Linked DNA regions of Drosophila melanogaster. The protein of the gene in region 1 purifies or fractionates together with the protein of each later gene. This does not show direct contact. Each region holds a gene or a part of one and is shown in the gene's direction. Other genes may lie near its edges.

Region 1 (13,461 bases):
TTCCATGTTGATGATTAAATTGCGATAAATTTTAAGCAAATTGCATTTCGTGTACAACAAATTGCAGAGGCGTCGTTGCTTTTGTTGTTTTTCGTCTTGGTTTTCCTGTCAGATCCTATCGATGATAGGCCACAGATCGTAGGCGTTACGGCAATTTCCAAGGTGAAAGCTGATCAGTACCCACTCCACTGTAGCTATGTGCTCTGCAGTCCATTGGACATTTTTTACCCAATTCCCAATTTTCACATCGATCGATTTTCACAAAAGCTTATTTATTAGTTTTATTATTACATTCTAACGCCAGAAAGTATGCACTCATTTTGTAATTTAAATATTTCTCCAATCAAATATCCGAATCCAAGATTCTCAATCCTTTCACAGTGGATATGAGATGACCATCGCTCTGGACAGTATCGGGAATAAATCAAATATGTATCCACGCAAATGACACATGACAGTGAGCCAAGAGAGAGAGGCAGCAAGGGAGGGAGCGAGCGAGAGGGGGAATGGGTAAATTGCATGCGATTGAAATTGAATGGTTTAAACGGTCATTTCAATGGCTGCAATTTAACAAGCCGTAATTAGTTGATTGTTGTACCAAATAAACTTAAATCAACAACAACTGACAATTGACATTTGCATGGAGGAGCGACGGTTGAATTGAAAGGATCCGCCAAAGTTCCCCCTTTACTCGTCCTCTCTTTCCCGCGTGCATAAATAAGCAGGCGTTACAAACTGCCTGCTCACCAACACACACACGTGCACACGCAAGCCAGCGAGCTTTCCCTCTCCCTCTCGCGCACATGCACGTCACACACATGTCAGCCGCGTCGGCCATATTGTCTACCCGTCTCGCTCACTCGGTCGACCGCAGTGTGTGCTTTGTGCTATTTATTAACCTTTTATTTAATGCTATTTGCTTAAGCGTTCCCAAACGACAACAACAACAGCTACACACACGGCAACTGATGACAGGCCATCGCCTTGCAATTACCCCACTTCCCCCTGCCATCGGCCGTCTCGCTCCTTGTGTCGCCGCACTCCTCGCACTTCAATTAGAGTGTGTGCGGCGGTGTTTGTGCATGTAATTAGGTGATTGTCAGTTGGGCTCAAATGTCGCGTTTTATTTATTTGCCTTGGGGAATTGTAATGGAAGCGAAGTAGGTAAGAGTTTAAGAAAGGGTTATACTCTAAAGCGAACCGCAAGACATGCGAATCCTTAATAACGCTTATAAGAATACTAAAGCATAAAAGGTTCAAAAGTTATACAATGTCTGATTGCAAAAATGATGTATAGCAGGGACGGAACTTGTAGAAGTTTTTTTTAACTTAAAAATATATTTATTTTATTCATTCATAGCAATCATATTTATTTGGCACTTTAATTCCAACCCAGTAATTAATCGTTTTCAGATTAAATTGCTTTAAATATTCCGCCCTGTTTTTTGAAAAACCACCTCTTCGCTTTGGGCTGACAAATCAGTTGCCTCCCTCTGACATGTACAGTATTTTTCCTACTTATTAATTTTCCTCGAAAACTTTTCCACTGCTAATTGGCTGTTACGCACCACCCCTCGGAAAACCCCCTTCCCTTGAGCTCCAACAACCCCAATGGCATCTGCGGGCCAAGCCCAATCGATTTCCATGGCGAGTTGAAAACCATTTAACTGTCAATTAAATACAATTTCCACATGCCTGTTATTGATTTTTCTCTTCAAACTGTCGACAAGTGGAACAGAGTTGGGAATCGAGAAATGGGATAATGGAATGGGAGTTTGACTGTCGACGGTGATGATGATGGAGGTGGTGATGATGATTACTGCCGTCGTCACGTGTTAATTGCAATTAGAGCTACACGCTCTCAAACGAATAAATTATGCAAATTTCAATTGAGACAAGAAATTGAATGCAATCAAAACAAAATCAAATCGAATCGAATCACAACGCACGTCAAAGCACAAAATTGCACAAACGGAAAGACGAATTATGAATTTTCGCAATCAATGCCAGCTATTTGTTGCTCGGCTTGTTTTTTTGTTTGTTAACTTATGACACAGCCATGTCCATTGTTTGCTAAACGACATTAGACAAACTGGCCACAAAATCACAACAATTACAGTCTCCAATCCACATCCAATCCCCAGCCGCAACATAATAAATGCTACGATTCGATTAAAAGATCAGCTCGAATAGCAGCAGCTCTACGAACGCAAACAGAGACAAAAAGCGGCAAAATCACAACGACAGTTGCTACATTTTGGTAGCAGGAATAGCCACATCTACACTGATCATTTGCAGCGAGCCACATCTGTCGTTTAAATAGCTAGTGGGACAGCACCACGATCCTATGAGATTGACAAAAAGAGCCGCGAACCTAACGAGGGCCATCGATCCTGTTGGCGGGCCAGAAAGAGAGCACCAATCCGCGCTCCGTTCTGTTTCAGTTTCTGTTTCTGTTCTGATGTTGCTCGTTTGTAAGCTACATACATTTTTGCGCTTCGCCCGACAGCAGCAGCAGGGCCTTAGAGATCAGGCTTCAACTCTGGGTCCCCATTCTTACTCCCCAGCGCGGCTCACTTAGCTACTGCTAGCTGGGACAGGGCCGAATTCGAGGACGACGAGGGAAATCTTGTCGTAATACTACTGCCTTAAACTGGGAAAGTCATTTCGCATATAACATGAACAATTATATGTTTTGTAGTTTAGGAATCCTGCAAAGCTGCGCTCATTAGTTGCATTGAAAGCTCATTTTTTTTAATAATTCAATAGTCTTTTCGTTGTAAAATCCACAAAAAATAAATAAAAAGAAGGTTTCTCTCAATGTAATTATAACAAAAAAAAAAAATTTATAAAGCTTATTGGTATGTGTAGGTGGCGCCCGAACAGGGATGTCAATTATTCAAGTTAAAGACTAAAAATCGCACATAATAAACGTAAAATAGATGACTCCCAGTCATATACATATTCCTGATAACTATCGACTTGTGAAAAAATATGGAAATATGGACATTTATCGCATCGTACGATGTCACAGTAACATTTTTCGCTTTTTTATTTTATTTCCATTTCTTAATTCAAAATGTTGAGGATGCACCGTTTAAATTGAAGCTTTTTGTCGCCCCAACCTCCGTTTTGGTAGATCCGCTCCACCAGGAGCCCAAATCTCACTCTCTGTCTGCCTCAGTGAGCAGCTTCATTGCCGTTTCTTGCGATGCTGCTGCGCTTTGTTTAAATAAAAGCCTCTTTAAGTTTATCTATTGCCGCGCATCTAAATTGTGCGCCCAGTGGGGAGCTGTTAGGGGCGGCCGGTGGAGGAGTTAGCCGGCTCACTCGACGCGATTATGCTATTTGTTGTTGCTGTTGGCGGCGGAGCTGATGCTGCGGCGGGAAAGAGAGGCAGATAGAGGGGCAGTCTTGTAATGTTTTGCCGGCGCGCTTTGCTCTTTTGTCGTTGTCGTTGTGTTGTCGTTGTTACTTATTGCTTGCGTTGTAGGCTTCATGTTTTGATTGTATTTATTTTAGTTTGAGTAACTTTACTGCGAAGCTTTTTGTTGCTCTTGCTTGCCTTCGGTTTCCGTCCATTTCTGATGAAGATTTTCTGCGCGATTAACTAGCGAGATCGCCTTACGCTCCGCGGCGTCTTTTATGTGAAAAGCGTTTCGTGCGCGGCTTTAATCATGTCTCCTCTTCGGATGGAATCTGCAGGTAATGGCTGGGGTGAAGGGGAGCGAACGGGTGAAATCAGTTGGCTTTTCAGACATTTTGAGCAATTGCGCTTAATTTTATTCATAATTCGTGGTCTTGGGTTACCACAGTCAAACTTCTGTAACTCAAACAGCCATTTAGCACATTAAAATTTGGAGCTACGATAGCGGTAAGTCACGCAAACAGTGGTAATGATCAGTACAGTATAATTCGCTTAGCTGCATCGATAGTTAGCTGCATCGGCAAGATATCTGCATTATTTTTCCATTTTTTTGTGTGAATAGAAAATTTGTACGAAAATTCATACGTTTGCTGCATCGCAGATAACAGCCTTTTTAACTTAAGTGCATCATATCAGCTGTTTTTTTTGCCAATTTCAATGAATATCATCAAAGTTAGCTGCGCCATCTATGAATCATTTTTGCATATCTAAAAGATGGCAAGAATGCCAACTCGTTTCAGTATCTGCGCATGTCCGTTTTTGTTTTTGCTTTGATCGTGATTTTTGTGTTTTTGTTTCTTATGACACAAAGTTATTAAAATGGGTAAAACAAAGCGTGTCGTTGGACTAACACTAAAGGAAAAGCTTCAAATAATCGAGTTAGTGACCAACAAAGTGGACAAAAAGGAAATTTGTGCCAAGTTCAAATGCGACAGATCCACAGTCAACCGCATTTTACAAAAAACAAATGAAATTCATGAAGCTGTGGCCGCGTCAGGTTTAAAAAGAAAGCGTCAAAGAAAAGGAGCGCACGACTTAGACAAACAATGCGTAGAAGTTGACATTGTATCGAATATTAATTGGAATGAATATGCCAATGTTGATGCAGATGAGGCTTGCCATGGTCAATTAGATGATGATGAAATCGTGCGCTCTTTAGTTCAAGATGCAAAAACCAGCGATAACGAAGAAAGCCATAGTGATGAAGATGTGGACGATACTGAGCGTCCTACTTTTAAGGATGGGTTTGCAGCAATTAAGGCTTTAAAGTCCATTTTTATGCGAAACAATAATGATGAGTTTTTGCAAAACTTGAATTCTATGGAAGACAAGCTGTTTAATTTACATATAAACTCAGCTGTATTGCAAAAAAAAAATTACTGACTATTTTTAAGTTAGTTTTAAAAAGTGTTTTAATCAATTCACCATCACTTAAATTTATATGTCGATCTTACTTATCATTAAGAATGAAATTATCAGTTCCTTTTATGTTTAACATTGTTATAAAGAAATAAATTCTTTATTTTTCCTTAAAAAAAAAAAATTAAGTTAGCTGCATTTTTAAGTTACCTGCATCGAGGCATTGTGCAAAGTACTCGAGGCAGCTAAGCGAATTATACTGTATTAGGTAATGTTCGGGTCTTTAGGCAAATAAATGGTAAGGGTTAAGTGACAGAAGCTCGACTGTATGAAACTATTTTCTTGTACTCCATTCCTTTTCCTAATCATACTGCGTATAATTGTTTCTTTTGTCGAGGGCTGGAAATTAAGCCTGATTAATTCGTTTGTCGGTGCTTATACTATCGCAGTGTCGGCATCTGGCATTGGCTTCTTTGTAATGGTGCAACAAAGTTATTAAACTGGCTTGGATTGCTTTGCATTTCGGGGCGTGGTTCCACCAATACGATTCGAAGCGATAATAAAGCGCGGACAGCCCGAAAAACTCCATGATTCGGGCTTTATGGGTTCAACAGCAGCGATAAAAAGATCGCTGGAATTCCGATATTTTATGTCCAATCTGTCGGCGATAACGGAGAAAAGGTGCAACTTTGATAGTCGATTTCAGATATGAAATATGATACATTAACCGATTTCGGCTGTGTCACTAAAGAGGTCCGCAGCAAATGATGCAAATGAATGCAGCCATTCCTAGAAATCTTTTCGTGGACTACAACAAAGTTTTCTGATTTAATTAAAAGAGTGATCGGCATGCCCTGCACAACCTCACTTCAAACAAGGCAAACTCGTTTTCACCCCACACATGACACACACAAAAATGTCTCAAATACTTGAAAGGAAAGCTAAATACAGATTTATGAGCACAAAGCACAGCAACAATGCAGTATGTTCGCCAATTAGACAAGCCCAAGCAAACGTATGTCAAATTTTCATTGGCGGGAGAAGGGGCTACTTAAATTGGTCAGGAATGGAGGATAATTTCCATAGTACATGAACGAAGTGACTTAAATTCTAAAAATAATGTCTTATGTAAGTAATCATGAATATCAAAGTTTGATTTTTTTATTGATATCAGATTGATTAGCTTGTGGGACCAAATTTAAATTACAATTATTTTGGCATTACTAAGAGGTCTTTAAATGCCGGACAAGGTGTTCAGTAGAAACCCAGCAAGCTGATCATTATCCCCCCAGTGCTTTTGAATCTACGCCCATGATTAAGCGTATGCAATTGCACACGTATTGGTATTCATTTACGCAGAACTATCATCAATGTTGTCCGATGGGATGTGTGAAGGCAAAACGACAACAAACAATAAAACGGCGACAAAAAAGCATCAAAAGCAATTATGAAATCACGGCAGATGTTGGGGCAACAAAAATTGTGGTGGTGATTTATAAAGCGCAGCTAACAACAACAATGACATCAAAAAGCGCAAAAATGTTCGTTGTATCGGAGCAACAAGAACAATAAGTAAAAGGAAGCGAAGGAGTGAAGGAGACGGGGAAGCTGTGGCATGTGTTGTATATAAACAGGCACACACTCCATATGTGTGTGTGGGTATATAATGCTGGACGGCGGATAGGATGCCAGCAAAAAAGGACTGCAGATGCCAGACCGCAAAGAGGAGCGAAAGAAAGGGGGAGTGAAGTGATGATGATGGAGGAGGAGGGCGAGAGCAGCCTACATAGAGTGAGATTTACGACTTAAATGCTGCAGCGCATAATCAAAACGACAAGGCGCAGATGGAAATGGAGTGGAGTTCTTATCCCTATTTTCCTTCTTTTTCGCTTTTTTCTTTTTGCGGCGACGACGCACTTAATTAACAAATATACAAACACTTAACATAACCTCAACTGACAGGCGGCTGACCGTGTGCGCGAGCGGGACAACAGTAGGGCACGCCCCGCAGCCGCTGATTGGATGTTCGAAAAGCCAGAGCAGGACGGAGAGTGAGAGAGAGCGTGTGCGAGAGAGAGTTCTCTTTTTGAATCGGCTCTCAGCTGCAGCCGTCTCGCTTTGCTATTCAGTTCGCGAGAGAATCAGTTGGTCGGCGGTTCGTAACAGCGCACGTTACGTTTTTAACGGACGAGCGGATTAACGTCGGTATCGACAAGTTTATCACCCAACCCAAAAACCAATTGTCAATCGAAGACGATAGCGCGGCGTATTTGCCAATCCAAGTGATATCTTTTGGCTGTGGTTAATGTTTTTAATGCTTTCTGGCTGCCCTGAAATGCCGTCGGCTTTTGGTCCCTGTGAACTTTCGAGCTGAAGACCTAAGCCCTCAAACTGATGTCCACCTTGGCCAGCACTCGACCGCCCCCGCTCAAGCTGACTATTCCTTCCTTAGAGGAGGCAGAGGACCACGCGCAGGAGAGGAGAGCGGGCGGAGGTGGCCAGGAAGTAGGTAAAATGCATCCGGATTGCTTGCCCTTGCCGCTTGTCCAGCCGGGCAACTCGCCCCAAGTGCGGGAGGAGGAGGAGGACGAGCAGACGGAGTGCGAGGAGCAGCTGAACATAGAGGATGAAGAGGTCGAGGAGGAGCACGATTTGGACCTGGAGGATCCGGCCAGCTGCTGCAGTGAGAATAGTGTCTTGAGTGTGGGCCAGGAACAATCGGAAGCAGCACAGGCTGCGCTATCCGCTCAAGCTCAGGCCAGGCAGAGGCTTTTGATCAGCCAAATCTATCGACCGTCGGCATTCAGCAGCACTGCTACCACTGTTTTGCCGCCCAGCGAAGGTCCGCCCTTCTCACCCGAAGATCTCCTGCAACTGCCTCCCTCCACTGGAACCTTCCAGGAGGAGTTCCTGCGAAAGTCCCAGCTGTACGCCGAGGAGCTGATGAAACAGCAGATGCATCTAATGGCCGCCGCCAGGGTGAACGCTCTCACGGCAGCGGCGGCGGGAAAACAGCTGCAAATGGCAATGGCGGCGGCGGCGGTTGCCACAGTGCCCAGCGGTCAGGATGCACTGGCTCAGCTGACGGCCACGGCATTGGGTCTGGGACCCGGTGGAGCGGTGCATCCCCATCAGCAATTGCTACTGCAAAGGGATCAGGTCCACCACCATCATCACATGCAGAATCACCTGAATAACAATGAAAATCTGCACGAAAGGGCGCTCAAATTCAGCATAGACAATATCCTGAAGGCGGACTTTGGTTCCAGATTGCCCAAGATTGGTGCTTTAAGTGGCAATATCGGTGGTGGCAGTGTAAGTGGGAGCAGTACTGGCAGCAGTAAAAATTCTGGAAATACCAATGGCAACAGATCTCCCCTAAAGGCGCCCAAGAAGTCGGGAAAGCCACTGAATCTGGCTCAAAGTAACGCCGCCGCCAACTCGAGCTTGAGCTTCTCCAGCTCGCTGGCGAATATATGCAGCAACAGCAACGATTCCAATAGCACCGCCACCAGCAGCAGCACGACGAACACCTCGGGGGCACCAGTGGATCTGGTCAAGTCGCCACCGCCAGCGGCAGGAGCGGGTGCCACAGGAGCATCCGGTAAATCGGGCGAGGATTCCGGCACTCCCATCGTTTGGCCAGCGTGGGTCTACTGCACCCGCTACAGCGATCGTCCCAGCTCAGGTGAGTCCAAGTCTCTTTAAAAATTTTGCTTCAGTTATCTAAGTTGTCTAGCGAAACATAAGTACAAATATTGATGAAATAATATTGTATATTTCTACGTTTAACGTACTTTTTATGAACTTTGTGAATGCAAATATAGTTTATGAAATTACGTTTTGGTGTTTTGAATACTAATCTTCATAAGCTTGAAAGAAAAGCCTTTGGTTTCAAGTTTTCTCGTTAACATACGATTCTCCAGCACCATGCCAGTATTATTATAGATATTCTGTAGTAGATCCTGGCAAAATTTATTTACTTGCATATGTTTCTATGGATATTTCCTGCATTTTCTAAAGCATCTTACATCTTATGCTAAAGCAGTGCACTGCTAGTCACTCACTCTTTCTCCAAACTCAAACACACTCGAGGAGACGAGCTGTTGAGTGGTGGCTCATAAAGCGGTTGTGCAAACAAGCGACAGACACCACAGAAGAGCCGGCGAACGGAGCCAAACCACAGCAACCCACAGCTCATTAGTTTGCCAACCACCGAAATGAAGTGAGTGCGAGCGAAAGGGAGGCGAACACTCACCCCGAAGTGAAGTGTCTGCTCGAGTGGTTTTCATGTCCTTATGGCTTATGTAACATAACTTAAGCTCATTATGCCGCTACACCCCACCCACCCCGTGTGTGTTTTTGTGTGTGCAGCACCACCCCAACCCGTCGAGAACAACCCCAAAACAATCTCCCAGCAATCATGGCACTCTCATGAATTTAGTTTATGCCACCGCAGGGAATTCGTAATCGTTTGCCTAATAATTTCATGGCTGAAATTTGGGGGGGAATCGGATGGGTGGGAGTGCCCCATATGCTCATTTATGGGGTGGCTTATTGCTGTTTGAACAAGCAATTCGGATTCCTTGATAGTTTTTGGCTAATCCCCTGGAATCTCGGGTAAGTCCATGGATCATGTGGTTCAAGTGGCGAATGGAGAGTGATTTAAGCCACTTGATGGCAGTCATTTGGTTAAGGTGTTTACCTTTATTAGCTTGCTCAGCTAGTTTATTATCGGTAATGAATTGCCAAAGGTTTACTCAATAGACTGAATGCATTTTATCACAGATACTTGATATTATAACACAATATTAAAACGTTTAAGACCTTACTAAACTTTGGTGTTCAACAGAGTAGTTGACAATAGCATTATTCAATTACAATATCAGCCTTAAATGGGCATATAATTACGAGAGTTACTTTATCTTTAACTAGTTAAATTTAATTGCTTTATTAAGTATCATTGAATGCAATTTGTAAGATTGCCGAGCTCAGCTGTTTAAGCACTTACGACAGTTTTTAGCCAATTATCCACACGTTTTATAGATCTTAATACACCAGCTTGAAGAAAGTAACGTTGAAATATCAGTAAATAATTGTAATTCATCCATCAAAAGTCGTCCCTTCTAACTACCTGATTCCCAATTACACAACTTAGAAGCTTGGCCCAAATAAACTCGGATCCGAATAATTCCTTGGCAATTTACTCATTACGCTGATGGATGTCAAACTCATATTTATTTAGAGAGTTTTGGGGGAGTCTCGTTACTGAATCCCCAAAAAAAAAAAAAAAACGAATACCGAGTGCATAAATCTACGCTTTTGGGTGGGTTTTGTCGCGCTCGCTAATTAACTCGAAACGATTTTGGTTGCTCCCCTCCACACAGGCCGTCTCTTTCGCTCTGCAGTCGCCCGTCTCACTCGCTCCGAGGTTTTAAGGTGTGTTTATTGTTGTGGTGGCTTTTTCATTTTCTCAGTTTCATTTTTAGGTTTTTTTCCAAGCGCTTTTTGTATAAATTTAGCGTGACTAAAACGAGATCTCGATCTCAGTGCGGTTCCATAATTTGAATGAATGTTGTAGGCGATGGCGTCGCTGGTCCTCCGATTCGGAATCATTTTCGGAGTGGCTATATGCGCTATATGGGCTATATGTACGGAGTTGGCTTGTGACTGCAGCTGCTATGGCAAACAATGATTTAGCGTGAGATTTGAGCCAGTCAGCTACAAAATCGGCGAATTAAAATGCCAGCTCGAATAAAAGTCATAAATTTGTTGCTTTTGAAAAATTACTGCTGCCGTTGTCGGGAAAAAATATTCAAAGTTTTTATAATCCACAACAAAGGTGTTAATTTGACAAATTAATGCAACATATTCCGTGTGCGCGTAGGCGATTAAAACAGTTGCCAAAAACGTACATTCGACAACAAATTAGTTAATTGCACTTAACGGCCATTTGTGGGCCACATGATATATGGCTAACATATGGGAAGCTGTCGGACTGCATATGTGCCGTCTATTTGTGCGCCATTTTCGATGCAGATTAATGGCATTGTATTAAAACCACAAAAAGCATTTGATAATCGATACAAGATTGCGTTCAATCTCAATAATTGCCAGGCCATATTTTATGATTTTTATTGGAGCATGAGCCTGAGTGGGAGTGGCTCTATTTACTGCTTTGATGTAGCAATTAATTATGTTAGATCTAAAGGATAAATAAATGTGTACTCAATCCACTGATAAAAAGATGTGGTATGTTTTTTGCTTCGACTTAAACATAAACCGCATTTGTAGAATAGGCCATAATTAACTTATACACAGTGGGCACTTTTTTGTGCCTCCCTTTGGCAAAAACGTAATAACTTATTGAGGAGTATCATTAAAACCTAGCTAAAAAATGGCAAACCCACTATATTTAATTACTGGATACATAGCCTTATTTCAGATAAAAAGTTTATTTCTGTATCTCCCTTAAAAGTGAGTTACAAAATAGTGGGAAAAAATGTGAATGATCAGTCATATGTTTGCCTATTCATTACACATTTGTGTACCCAGCTCCGCCCACAACTGTTTTTACTGACCCAGCTTTTACTTGACTCTTCGGTTCCCTTCTACAAAATAGACATTTCTGCATGGAATGACTTGGTTGGGACCAGATACTCACCTCTTCCTTCCAAGAACCCCCATCCTGACCTTTGCCTGCCGTTGGTAGGCAATTTTCGCATTTGTCCGGTACTTTGAGCTCATTTAACCAGTAGCCGAGACAGCGACAAGCGGGAAAATTAAGCGGGAAAGGGGCCAGCGGGAAAACGGGAGCGACAGCGATCGCCACTGAACCATTAAGTAATTTTCAATTTGCGCAGAAGACGCTTTCCGAGCAGCCAGAGAAACAGAAACAACAACAATGACAACATAAACAAACGAATTTCAATTACACCGTCCTGCAATTACCCCCCTCGTTTTCAGAAAAGCCTCCGATTTTCTCATCTCCGTGCTCTTGCCGTTGGAAAATTGCTGGAAAAGTTTCTTTGGCTGCGCTGCCTTTGCATGTTCTAAATGGGAAATTTACTTAGGAAATTGCTCTAAACAAAAGGTGGTGAAGGGGTTGGAAGGAGCAGGTCCAATTCGTTTTTTTTTATCAGCGAAATGGTATGAGTGTTTTTCTGACACTTTAGTAAGTGGCAGTACCTCTTTTATTTTTTTTTTATCAAAACGAGTTAGTTAGTTTAGATTAAATAACGTAATTTTCAGCCCTGTTTCTATTTTAATTTAATGCATAGAAATTTATTGAAGACAAACTGTACACGTTCAATTAAAACTTAATTTAGTGATGTTATTTCCATCCATAAACCTGCACTCCCAACCCTATATTTTTGAAATTATGCAATTGGGCCAATTTGATACCGAATTATGGACTGAAATTATTATTGGCAACCATCAAAGAACTCAATCAATGATAGGAGCACGTAAAGTTTCTTAGCCAAAACGATTTTACGTCTGAAGTGCGCAATTTGCGTTGGAAACGCAACAACAGCACCAAGAACACCGTTGTTTATGACCCAAATGCATTCATAAATATGCGAGGCTGTCACGTCATATGATAATCACGATATCCAGAGCCTCGAGGAGAACTCGGGTCCGCTTTTCCCACTCCCTTTGGCCGCCAAATTGAGCCATTGAGGAAAATACTTACCGGCCTATGTGTTAGCCGCTTTCCTGGCAAACACTTTAAGAAAGCTCTATTCGTGGATAGTGAGTGGTTAGATAGGTGAAAACTATTAAACGAGCGCACTTTAAACGCTCACTCAATCACTTTTTGGTGCTCCGAGAAGAGAGGCTTATGTGGGTCAAAAGCAATCCGAACTCTAGAATGAACTACACCTTGAAGAGAACTAAAGTTGGTTAAAGGATAGGATCAGCTCAGACATCTTATTACGAATTCAAAGTTCATACCATAGATGGTACTAGGGATGGGTACAAGAAACAACCATATGAAATGTGTCAAAAATGTTAACTACCTAGGAAATGGTATTGTCTTATACTCCTTAACTTATTTTATAATCGTTTATTAAGAAGTTTGGCTTAATAATCAAACTGTGTACTTAGCTTACGCACTTTTGTTTGAAGACGCATTTTCCTGCCGTGTAGGATGGGTGTTAGGTAGAAAAGGCAATGGCAATCAACTGCGGCGATTTATGAAGTGACAAAAATTAATTTCAACTGTTAACTTATCGCACAACCAACAAGCAACACACAACAACAACAAGATAACAATAACAAAAACGAACTGCGGCAACAACTGTAACAGCAACTACAACAACAACAACTAGTAGCGCCTTTTAAGGCTTTGGCAACTGCAACTGCCGCAACTGGAAAAAGCAGCCATGCGCCTTGGTAATAAAACTGTCAGACCCGCAGCCCCAATCGCCCCATGCCCCTTGCCCCCTCCCCATATATATGTACAAATACATACATATATATATTTTTTTTAAAACTGCGGCACGATAACAGCGGCAGCAGCGAAAAATGTCGTTTAAACTGTGACTGGACTGCTGACCGCATTTGGTTAATGTGAACTGAAACTGCTGCTGCTGCGGACAGTTGCATTTTCCGCTCAACAGTTAATATGGCCTCAAATTGGGCATCGGCCAGGCATTTTGTAATTGTTTTCATAT
Region 2 (12,235 bases), on another chromosome or scaffold:
GGCCAGGCCATTTGGCGTCGATAGCGCGATGTCAACGACCTCCTGAGCACTCGACGTCGTCTCGACAACATCGCCGTCCTTGCTATCCTCGGAGTCATCGCCCGACGAGGTGCTGCCGCGTCTATGGCGCGACTGCGATTGGTTCTGTGTCTGCTGTTGCGAGTGGGTATGGGCCGTCGCATTCTGTTGCTGTTGCTGCTGTTGGACTCCGCCGGCTGACACGCCCACGGTCACCACCGCCATCGTTGTAGTCGTCGTTACAGCAGATACAGTGGTCCCGGTCACATACGGCTGGCACAGATGGGCGCCAGGATGCGCGTGCCCGTGACTGTGGCTGTGCGCATGGCTGTGCCCGTGAGCGGTGGGCACCTGCACCGGATGATGGTACAGCTGCTGGACAACGGCGCCCGAGGGCATAATCACATATTTTGGCGCCCCATTGGCGGTGGCGTACGCAGTGGGAGCGGCAGTGGGCAGCGGCGAGATACGATCCACCACCACCAGATGTTCGAAGTTCTCGCGGATCCATTCGCGATAATCGATCACGTCGTCGGTGATGTGAATGATTCGACCTGCATTAGCGAACAAAGGAGACCATTACAAATCCACATCGATTCCACGAAACTAGTGTATATACGCGCATATAACAAAATTGTTGTTATCAACGTGTCCAGCAGTAAACATTGCTTAGCTATGTGCAATTTTGTACTGTGAACTGTTGGATTGCATTAAAATATTTGTATTTTTTCGTTTAATTAACTAATAGAGCGTGACTATCACTTACCCAGTATCGAGTTGACGCGCGGATCGATGCCGAGAAGGTTGAGCGGACTGACGGCAAGGGCGAGCACGCGGTAGGCGCACTTGAATGCCTGTTGCACCTGGAAGACGCCGTAGCTGCTTCGACCGATATCATTGCCTGGCGTCAGCGGATCCTCGATGCACAGGAGCGAGGGTCGATGGCCATCGACCATGTCACGCTGCAGCTCATCCTTGGGCATGTAGCGGCCACCGTTCTTTATGGAGATGCCGATCTTCATGTAGTTGAAGCGACGTCCATAAAGTTCGAAGAACTCGAGGAGAAGCACCCCCAGATTGGCTGTATCGTGGTAGATACCGCGCGGATGCATCTGCAGGAAGCTGATGCACATAAGGATCAGCGAGTAGGAGGAGATGCCGCCCGTGAACACCTCGTTGAGATCGCGAAGTAGTAAGAACTGCTTCAGCACAAGCACTAGCTTCTCCAGCACTGGATAGTCGCGCTTAAACTTCTTAATCAGCTCCGCCGACTGAACACCACTCTGCATGTTGAACGATATGTCTACCTTCACTTGCGTTTCCCGGTCCGTCAGCTTGATGATGGGCACTGATGCCTTGTCCAGAACACGCACCGTACAAGCCTCGGCGATACCACGGCTCACTAGCTCGAACTCCAGCGTTCTCAGCGGCAGCTTCTCCCACAAACCTGAAAGTAAATTGAAGAGATTAGGATAAGATAATAAAGCCAATGCATAAATAAAAAGTCAATGCATGTGGGGGCCACTTAAAAAGCTAGTACCGTCCCTTCACTCACCTAACACAACGAGATCTATGTCGGAGGTGGGCAAAAAGAGGCCAGTGCGAAAGGAGCCAAAGATCTCGACTACTGCCTGTGGCCAGATGGAATGGACAACGGCCTCGATACGCTTGACCACCTCGTTGCGGATGGCGTGTTCGCAGGGCGTGGGCAGGACGTACTGATAGAAATGCTCGATCTCCTCGTGCAGCCCGATAACGCCCTCGCCATACGGATAGTCCGGCTTGCGCCACGGTTCGCCCTTGTACTTGGCGATCATCTCCATATGGTTGTTCATATAGTAGTGGGCTCCGCCAGCCTTGTTCTCCGGTCGTTTCTTCCGCGATGGATTGTAGTAGATGCTGTTCGTGCGGCTGGCGGGCGTGGTCGTTGATTGTGGCGGGTTGTTGCTGGTGTCGCTCATACTAGTGGCTGGACCAGTCGTGGTCGCAGCTGTGCTTGACGCTGTCGTCGCCGGACTATTTGTACCGGTACCTCCTGCTCCTGTTGACGTTCCCGTTCCTGCTCCGGGTCCGTTGGTTGAACTGCTATTGGCGGGTGAGTTATTGTCCCGATTCGTGGTGGAATCTGCCGACGAGCTAGTGCTGCCGCCGCTTGTGGTATTGATGTTGGTGCTGTTGCGCTGAGTGGTCCCGTTGAGCTGCTGCTGTTGTTGTTGCTGCTGCAGGATCTCCAGGGAATCCGCTCGGAAATTGAGCACCCGATTTAGCGAGCTGTAGGGTCGCGATAAGTAGGGTTTGGCCGATGAATTGTTACCAGTGTTATTGGTCGTGTTGGTGATAGTGTTATTGATGATGTTATTGTTGTTGTTGTTGTTGTTGTTACCACTATTGCTGCTGCTGCTGCTGCTGCTCGTGCTCCCGTTGATCGTCGTCGCCTGCTGTAGCTGTTGATTAAGCAATGCGCCCATCTCTTGGGCATTCGTCTCCCAAATCTTTAACCATGTGCACAGCGATGGTCCCTCCTGTTCCTTCTGAAACCAGCCAACAAATGGATCCATTCAAGACGGGTTCACACGGCTGTTGGCTGGGCGGGAAACGAGGGGGGCGCGCGTCTCTCCTTCGCTTCGTCCTTTCACCTCTATCCTCTGCGTCCTGGTGGTCTGAATATATAGACGTGACTCTATATAGATCCGATGTGATCTTTGTGCTCCACAGGGAAAAATTAATTAAAGTCGCTGCCGGGACTAAACCTCTTTGAATGCTGTCAGCATTCAAGTGCTGTAAAGAGTGTCACGAAAAATGTTAATTAGTTACCGGAGTAGGAGTTATGCGTATCCTATTCTACTACCTCTACATACGTTTAACGGTTCAAAACAATAGAATTCTCAGTTATGATCACAATATTACACTAAAGTCATTGCCATTTTAATTTCGGTATATTCTGGTATAGTAGGTAGACTTGTCAATCTTATTTGTTAACAATTAATGTGAAACAAGGCAGAACACCTAATTTGATTAATATTATTAACTTATCACTCAATAAATATGCCAATGTTCGCAGTTTTGCGAAGAGAGAGAGATTGGCTTATATTAGGAAAGTTCTGGAAGAACAAATACCCTCCATTTGTTCACTAAGTACAACCATATACATTTCGATATAATCTACAGCAGTTGTATTTCGAGGCTTTAACCAGTTTGGGACTCATTGTTTATAATAATCCTAAGTCAACTTCAAGTAATTTGATAAATCAAATAAATACTGATATCAAAATACTGTTATTGATGTACAGGTTTTAGGTTAACTCGGGGAGATAAATAAACAAAGGAATGGGGTTGAGATTGAAGGAAAGGAAACAATAGTAACAGTAGTTGTTGGTGCTGCTCTTGTTATTTTTGCTCTTTAAAAGGGGTTTGCATGCATTTTACACAAAATGGAAAGCGTAAATGGCAAACTATTACAAATTATGCGCTCTTTTTCTACAAATAGAAATGCCCCGCTCTCTCACACATCCCCTCCCTCCCACCACTTTCAAGCGAGCGCTCTTATTCACTCCTTTTTGCAAACCAATTGCAGCTGAAGCGTTTAAAGGCGCCAGTCGAAAATTGTTTTTCAGAGCGCGAAAAATCACACATACACACACGCGCTAGAAAAAAAAAAAACAAAAATGGGCCACAACAAAAAGGTTTTTCACATACGAAAAGCAAATCAAAATGCAATAAAAACAACAAGCAATTCGAAAAAAAAAAACAGAAGGAAAAACAGCTCACGAGACTCCGAGACCCGCAAATAAATGACTTCCCAAGTGATATTATATCTCGCACCAATACACTGATAGCTACTCTAGTTTTGTGCAGCGTGCGTGTGACTCTGTTGGGTGTGTGCGTTTGTGTGTGAGTGTGCAAGGGCGTACAGGTGGCCGTAGTATGGGGGTGGGAGTGGGAGCGGGACAGCACACATGCACATGTACCGAAAGGCGGCTTCGATTATGCAAAAAAAATATAATACAATAAGAAAAAAGGGAGAAGAAAGATGGGCAGAGAAACCGCTAAATGCGCACACACCTACACCTAATGCATATTTTACCCGATACGATTTTCATTTGCTGGCTGAATTTTCGGTAAAAAAAAACTTAGTTGCATTTGACAGAGGAAAACTCCCGTACACCCACACACATTTACAGCAGGCCATCGCGCACATGTACTTGTACATTTTAGGCAAATTAACACTTTCTTAATGTTCGCCAGTGTTGGCTAACGACCCAAGGAGAGCAAGTGAGAGAGCGGGGCGAAGTGATATTGAAGAAAGGCAGAAAGAGAGAGCGATTTATTGTTTTAACCGGCAAAAAACATACAGAGGCTGAAATTAGTCGGAGTAATTAATTGCAGTGGATATCGATAGACGGGCCTCGGTGTTGCCACCTGGCTTCGAAGGGCTCTCTCTCTTTACAGCACTGTCCGGGGCAAATGTAAACATTTAATTTATGCAACCGCTGCAGTAATTAAGCGAAAATCAATTAAGCAGACTACTCCAAACGCACGCCCGCTCTCATCCTCGTATTCTATCACACGCACACACATGCGTATCGAACTGCTCTTCACATGATTTCTCGCGTAATTCAGTTGGAATTTTTCACACACAATTCGTTTCTTCTTTTTTTTTAGCCGTTTTACCTTGACAAGTTTTGGTTCTCGTTGCGATTGCGTTGTATTTCAAGTTTATCACACATACATATACTCACACCTACACACGCAGCAAAACGTGAACAAAATACACATGTTGGTTATAAAAAATAAGCCAAGTTATATTATGCCAGTTGTATTATTGTGCAGCACAAAACCCGCCCAAAAATTAATGGAAAATTACAGTTGTTGTCGGTCGGCGTCGCTGCTGCTTCTTCCGTTCTTTCTTACTGTCTCACTCTCCCTTCTCACATATCCTTATAAGCACTAACAATTTCTGCTTCTCGCTCACTTTCGTTGCGCTGCCGATGGAGCTCTCTCTTTCACTCCTTGCTGCCTCTATGCCTTTTATGCACTCCCCACACACCCGCACACAGAGTGACATTTGAAGCACATACAGACGCACACGACTGGTTCTTTCGAGAATCGAACATTACCGAATTTATCAAATTGCGCTTCGCAATTGTGCATTTCCTGTGCAGATCGCAGGCCTCAATCGCGGCACGATTGTTTTTCGCCCTTTAGCAACGTTCCCTGTCAATTTCTGTGGATTTATATTGCAATTTGCGTGCGAACACGCGACCGTTTCGCGATAGAGCTGGTTCACGAATCGATTGATGAGCGATGTTATCGATAGACCTGATAAGCGAGAGGTGGATGTGCTCGCTAGATTCGCCAAGGTTGATGACTCCGCTAAGTGAATGGTCCTATTACAAAATATCGATGACATCCAAATTGCTTGTTAAATATAGTTTCAAATTTAACTGTAACATAAAAAAAATGTATTAAATCAATTTTAAAAAAACCCAACTTAGCATTTGTTATTTGGGGAAAGTCCATGCTATTCCCACCTACTCAACTGACAGGACGCATCACCAACTAAATTCGTTAAAAACATTGTGATTATTATAAACAATTAGTATTATTTATCCTGTGGCTTATGCGATTGGTTGTCATGCGATATTCTGGCTTTCACCATGTTCTCTGTACTACTGTACAGTTCCGCCGCTAATCAGACGTCGTCATCACTGATTCACCAGTTACTCATATGTGATGAGCAAGAGGGAGTTTTTGCCCGTGCCCTTACTTTCCCATTCGTCGCCTAGCGAAGGCAATGATGAAACAGCGAGGAATTCCATTTGGAGCTTAACTGTGTAGCGAAGCGAATCGCTTCCATTAGGGACTTTCCTCAATTCATAAACTAAATATACATATGTATTCACTTTAATGCTAAAAATTAACGAAGCAATGCCTGAAATCAAGAGACTTTGCCTCGCCACCGAGAATAGTCATATCGCAGCCAATGCCATGCTGCTAACAAAGATAGATGGTATGTTTGTGACATACATATCTTATAACACCGGATCATATTACATTACCTAACCCACTTAGAACTCAATTCCCAAGTCCTGTCGCAGCGCGCAGAAATCGAAAACTTGACGAGGGCGGTTAAGACACTTACGGAATTCGTTAAGCAGTCGATGAAAACGACCAAGCCGAAGGCGAAGGGAAATCCGGACGATGATTTTCCAATTATGTATGAGGAGGATCTGGTCGAAGTGAATCACAAGATAAGCCAGGACTCCAGGGGGATCTATGTAAGTTTCTCCTTCCTCATGCTTTTCCATCAATAGAATATTATATAGTTGTACTTATATGATCCCTGATCAGACGAATTCCATGCGGAAATTCCTGCGCCAGGGAAGATTAAGCCGCACCATAAGACTCATTTTCTCCGAGGACATCCTTCTGAACTACAATATTGATGGGAATCAGAAAAAGAAAAGACTAAAAGATCACGAACATCTGTTTCGTTCGCTTATGAGTAAGTTTAGTGCTCGACATCCAACTTTTAGTGATCCATTCAATAATTATCCCCAACTACAGACGCCATCGGTCAGGTGGAACCGACGCTACCCTCGGAAAAAGTCTTATTCAAAGCCATGAGATGCGTTAAGAATTGCGCAGCCAAAAAGAAGGGCAAGGTAGATGATGACCCCTTGTCCGTTTTGAGCGTGGAGAAATCATAACTGTGCCCATGTGAGATGACATAGTAGAAACAAGGATTTAAATATAAGTAATGATTTACGGGCGAATCAATCCGAATTGAGGATGAATACCCAAATAGTGGTTGATGGATCATCATCACTTTGTTGAGAAGTTATCACTTCATGGAGAAGAGCGAGAGCAAAACAAAAGACGAAAAGAAAACATCGATTTTTCACTATACTATCGATGTTTCACGCCTTCAAAGTGAAATGTCCAAAAAATATGCCTCGTTTTCTTTATATGATTACTAAATGACACATTTTTTTAAAATAATATAATTATTAAATGCCTGGTGATATTAGCATTATCACTCTTGTGAAAGCAATTTATTTAGTTATGGGTTATCCACCAGCAAGAACCTCTTGCGCGGTCACGATGCCATCGCTAGTGGCGGGTGGTTGGCATCAGTGGTGTGCCATCTCTAATTTGCGGTTTACCTAAACCAGGTGGAAGAGTGCAACTCTAGTCTGCATTGGTTGAATCGCGCAAAGGAAAAGGAAACCATGGCGCTGGCCATTAAGAAGCGCGTAGGCACCTACGTGGAAACGGTGGACGGGTCGCCGCCGGTGAAGAAGCTGCGTCTGCAAACGCTGGCCGCTGATGCCAAGGGCGGGAAATCCGGAAAAGTGGGCAATGTGGAGCGCAAGCTGACGGCGCTCAACCAATTGGACGCCTATGTGGGCAACCTGCCCGCCGGTGCGTTGGTCCTGCCCACTGGGACACCAGTTGCTTCGACGGGAGCCCCGTCAACAGGTGTCATCGGAAATCCGCCGGCTGCGGCGACTGGAGCTCCCCCAATGACGGCCGCGAATAGCAGGGAACTGCTGGAGCTCTTGGTCAAGATAACCGATGAGATATCCTATGAGGACGTGGAAATGGGCGAGCTTAAGGAGGTGGCCAGCAAGATCTTCCAACTGTATCAGCTGCAGGAACGCGATAGCGACACCTCCATCCGGGTGAAGCTGCTCGAGCTGCTGTCCGGATTGGGTTGCGAGTGTGCCACCGAGCAGGCGCTTACCATGATCATCGACTACTTTATCTTCTTGTTGAGGAAGGAGGTGTCCCAAAAGGTGCTCGCCCAGGGCATGATGTGCCTGTTTCGAATCGGGGAGCGCAGGAAGCACATGTTGCCCATATCGTACAAAACCCAGGTGGCCCACCTAGCCAAGGAGCAGCTGCGCTCCGGTTCGGCGCATACGCAGAAGAACGCCATGCTGGTAATCGGTCGTTTTGCCACCAAAATGGAGGGTGAGCGTCATTACGTATGGAAGTTAGCCTTCTACATCGACTCGCAGGACTCGAGCGTTCGTGCCCAGGCTCTGCACGCCCTGCTGACCCTCGGCGAACGGGGATCCCAACTGCCGGCGGTGCTCTATAAGCGTGCCGTCGAGGCCATGAAGGATGACTACGAGTGTGTGCGCAAGGAAGCTCTACAGCTGGTCTTCATGCTGGGCAATCGGCATCCGGACTACATTTTACCCTCGGACCGCCAGCAGGAGGAGCTGCGCATGATAGACGCTGCGTTCAGCAAGGTCTGCGAAGCCCTGTGCGATCTATCGCTGCAAATTCGCGTGCTCGCAGCGGAATTGCTCGGTGGGATGACCGCCGTAAGCAGGGAGTTCCTACACCAGACACTCGACAAAAAGCTGATGAGCAATCTGCGCCGGAAGCGAACGGCGCACGAGAGAGGTGCTCGCCTGGTGGCCAGCGGTGAGTGGTCATCGGGTAAACGGTGGGCGGACGATGCGCCGCAAGAGCACCTCGATGCTCAGAGCATCTCAATTATAGCCAGCGGCGCCTGTGGCGCCCTTATACATGGCCTAGAGGATGAGTTCCTCGAGGTGCGTACTGCGGCAGTGGCCTCCATGTGCAAGCTGGCCCTCTCTCGACCGGATTTCGCGGTGACCAGCCTAGATTTCCTTGTGGACATGTTCAACGATGAGATCGAGGATGTGCGGCTGAAGGCCATCTATAGTTTAACGGCCATTGCCAAGCACATAGTGCTGCGCGAGGATCAGCTGGAGATAATGCTTGGATCGCTTGAGGATTACTCCGTGGACGTGCGTGAGGGACTACATCTCATGCTGGGCGCCTGTAGAGTGTCCACACAAACGTGCCTGCTAATGGTGGTGCAGAAGCTGCTAGATGTGCTGGCCAAGTATCCACAGGATCGTAACTCCACCTATGCCTGCATGCGCAAGATTGGCCAGAAGCATCCACATTTGGTGATGGCTGTCGCCGTTCACCTGCTTTACGTGCATCCCTTTTTCGAGACGCCCGAACGCGATGTCGAGGATCCAGCGTATCTGTGCGTTCTGATACTTGTCTTCAATGCTGCAGAACATTTGGTGCCCATTATCAGTTTGCTGCCCACGGCCACCCATCGCCATTACGCCTATCTGAGAGACTCGATGCCGAATCTGGTGCCCCAGTTGCCCATTGAGGGTGCGTCCTCGGCGAGTGCGACGCACAGGATCGATTCGGCTATGCACCAAGCGGGCAGTTCGGCGGAGTACCTGCAGATGATTCTCAGTCACATCGAAGAGATCTTCACCATGACTGACGAGCGCTTGGAGCTGCTCCAGACTGCCCAATCTAATCTGCAGGTTTGTATGCCCGCTGGGCTTACTACAATATAAATGAACACTAATGTTTACTATGTTTTTTTTTTAATAAACTTTAGCGCCTGGGATCCATTGATGCGGGCATGTACGGCACCTCAAACTTTCTAGAGACCTTCTTGGCGGCCCAGATCCAGATCGAACAGATGCAGCGTTGCGCCAGCACGCAACGAAGCAGGGTGCCCTTGAAGGAATCACTGGCAGCACTCATCCGAAACTGTCTCAAGCTGCAGCACACTTTCTCCGGCCTCAATTACGGCGATATCTTGCAGGTGAAGCAGCTGCGCCTGAGGGCTTGCGCGCTTCACTTGGTCCTCGTGGTCAGGGATCGCTCACAGAGTGCATTGGGCCCGTGCCAGATGCTTTTGCAAACCGCCGGCGATATAAGTGAGTTCATCAAGGCGAATACGAAGGATGAGGAGGAGAAGCCACCGGTGGTAGAGACCGATATGCCCATGAAAGAGTCGGTCAGTAGGGATGCCCAGCCGGATAGCTTCACCCGCCAGCTGCTAATCAAACTGGATGGCATATCGGATCCCAAGCCGGGTCGCGTCTTTCGCGAAATTCTGCCGCTGGTCCAGCAGGCTCCTCCGCTTGCATTGCCACCCGCCAATGACAAAATACGCCGCTGTGTGGCCAACATCCTTGAGCCGTGTCCGCTGCAATCGCAGGATAATGTAATTAAGGTCACGGCTGGCCTGATAGCAGCCGTTCCTTTTGTTGCGGAAATCGACAATCTGCTGGAGTCCCAGAAGGCGGACATGCGGATCAAGATCAAGTATCCGGACCAGCACATGCACACCGTGGTGCCGAAGCAGAGTGACTTCAAGCCCATTATGACGGAGCAGGGCGAGCACAAGACCAATGTGCGCCTGCGCACCACAATCCTGCTGTCGCACAGCGTTTGGACGGAGTCGTCGCTGGTGGAGATCCAACTGTGCCTGGCCGTGCGTCCCGGCAGCGAACTGGAGCTCTGCAAGCCGGCAAAGGTGCTGTTCGCACCCAAACCAGTCAGGCGGGGCATTTAGCCTGACTTCCAGGTAATGGACTAGGTGCTTTTTGTCCTGGCGACGCGGAGCGAGAAGCTGACAAGGCCACACAGCCGCTGGAGGAGGAGGAGAAGGAGGGGGAGGAGGAGAGCCCAGGGAATTGGCGCAACGAGCAACTGTTATTTAAATATATGTATGTGATTGTTTAAGATACCATAGCAGTTGGTTGCCAAAGTTCTTTCTAAATCGAAAAAACCGAATGTTTAGAGCATCAGTTGTGCGTAGCTTACTTATATCATAATCATATGTTTAAGATGAATTCATTTCAAATAAAGTGTGTACCATAAATCTTTAAGAAAATCGTACATCATTTAAAATACTTACTGTGGGGGGGAATGAAATGCCTAAGACTTGTTCTTTTCATATAGTTTCTATAGTTTATTTCTCATTATAGGTTTTACAGCTTACACGTTTTCTGATCATTTTTCTGGATAACCTTTTCTCCATTTTCTCGTTTTGATTATTCTCCTGCTTTTTCTGATCTGGTTGTGGATTTTGTAGACGCTGCTATCATTTATGCTTGTTTGTTGTATACGAATTTTTTTTTAAATCTTAAGTTTATATTTGATTCGCTAAAAACTCATTTTAAAAAAGTACTTTGTATTCTTGTTGTTTTATCATTTGTTTTCGATTTCATTCTGCGTTATATTTAAGTTATTGTTTGGGCCTTTGGTTAGCAATAATAATCGTAATAATCATATGCAAGTAAATTGATCAAGTTGGATATTACTGAGTGGTTAGATAAATAGTTCTTGTTGCAAACATTTTTCAGCATGCTGTGAAAAATATACGTACAATACAAACACATCGATTTCCAAACCACACAAACACACAAAAGTCGATAATTAATAGCGTTTATCGTTAATTGTTCATCGTGTCTCATTGTTTCTTGCTAGGAATCACAGTATTGTGCAAATTACCTTTATTAGTTTCAAAATGTTTGCTTGGGATGTTGTTTAGCTTTCGGCATTCTGAGTTTTCAATTCTGAATTCCTCCGACTGGCGCTTATTAGAGTGTGTGAATTCTTATGATTCTGTAAATGTAGATGTAAATGTAAAATAGAACCCGACACAGGCAGTGCAGTTGTTGTTGTTGTTCTTGTTGTTGTGGTTCTATCGCTATCGAAGTCTAAGCTCTGTCATCGAAGACGAGCGATTATTTCGAAAATTCCACTGATGAACACTTTAGTTAGTTTTTTATTTCATACGACAAAGGAGGAAATATTAGTTTAGTTAATTGGTTTACGTTTGGTTTCTCAGTTTCCACATTGTTATTGACTATTTTGAGTTTTTCTTTTTTGTTTTTGGGAAATCACAATATCTATGCAAAATCTTATACATCTCTCTATATGTTTTGTATGTATATATATATATCGCTTTGTCATGAACATTAGATTTAGATCGTTGTCCTCTATACTGTAAATATATATCATATATCCATATATACGTTTGTATAGCAAGTTTTGTTTTGTATTGTTTTATGTAGTTCTTTTGTCTTGTTGTCCTTGCATGTCCTTTTTCCGATCTAGTTTCCTAGTTTTCCCTCCGCTCTACTTCCTCATCGTATATCTGCTATATCAATCGTTGGGATATGCGTGGTGCAGGTGAATTATGTTTGTGGATCGTTTCGGTTGTCTCCCAATTTTTTTTTTAGTGTGGGCTCGGTTTTTGGGGAGGCTGGGTATTGGTTATTCGATTGAAAACTATGCTGAAGCCGGATATTATAGTTCATTATACATACATAGGTAGCTAATTGAAATAACAACAAACAGAACGCAGTGCACAAAATATGAGTCATCCAATTACACGCCTACACCG

The links.
Region 2: the proteins of inv (region 1) and CG12112 purify together in Drosophila melanogaster (affinity purification with mass spectrometry, with the first as the bait; one large-scale study listed by BioGRID). This does not show direct contact.

The regions. Positions count from the first base shown.
Region 1 is NT_033778.4:11,468,796-11,482,256, forward strand, and holds the start of inv (invected), read left to right. Parts: upstream 1-6,912; 5' UTR 6,913-7,180; coding exon 7,181-8,474; intron 8,475-13,461. UniProt on the Drosophila melanogaster protein: Engrailed (en) and invected (inv) are functionally redundant transcription factors in neuronal precursor cell NB5-3 specification.
Region 2 is NC_004354.4:8,553,714-8,565,948, reverse strand, and holds CG12112 (uncharacterized protein), read left to right. Parts: upstream 1-5,756; 5' UTR 5,757-5,925; coding exon 5,926-6,028; intron 6,029-6,090; coding exon 6,091-6,296; intron 6,297-6,369; coding exon 6,370-6,523; intron 6,524-6,585; coding exon 6,586-6,728; 3' UTR 6,729-7,070; downstream 7,071-12,235. Other genes in the region: Trf4-1 (topoisomerase related function 4-1), read right to left, coding at 1-572, 785-1,465, 1,574-2,576; IntS4 (integrator 4), read left to right, coding at 7,251-9,353, 9,431-10,396.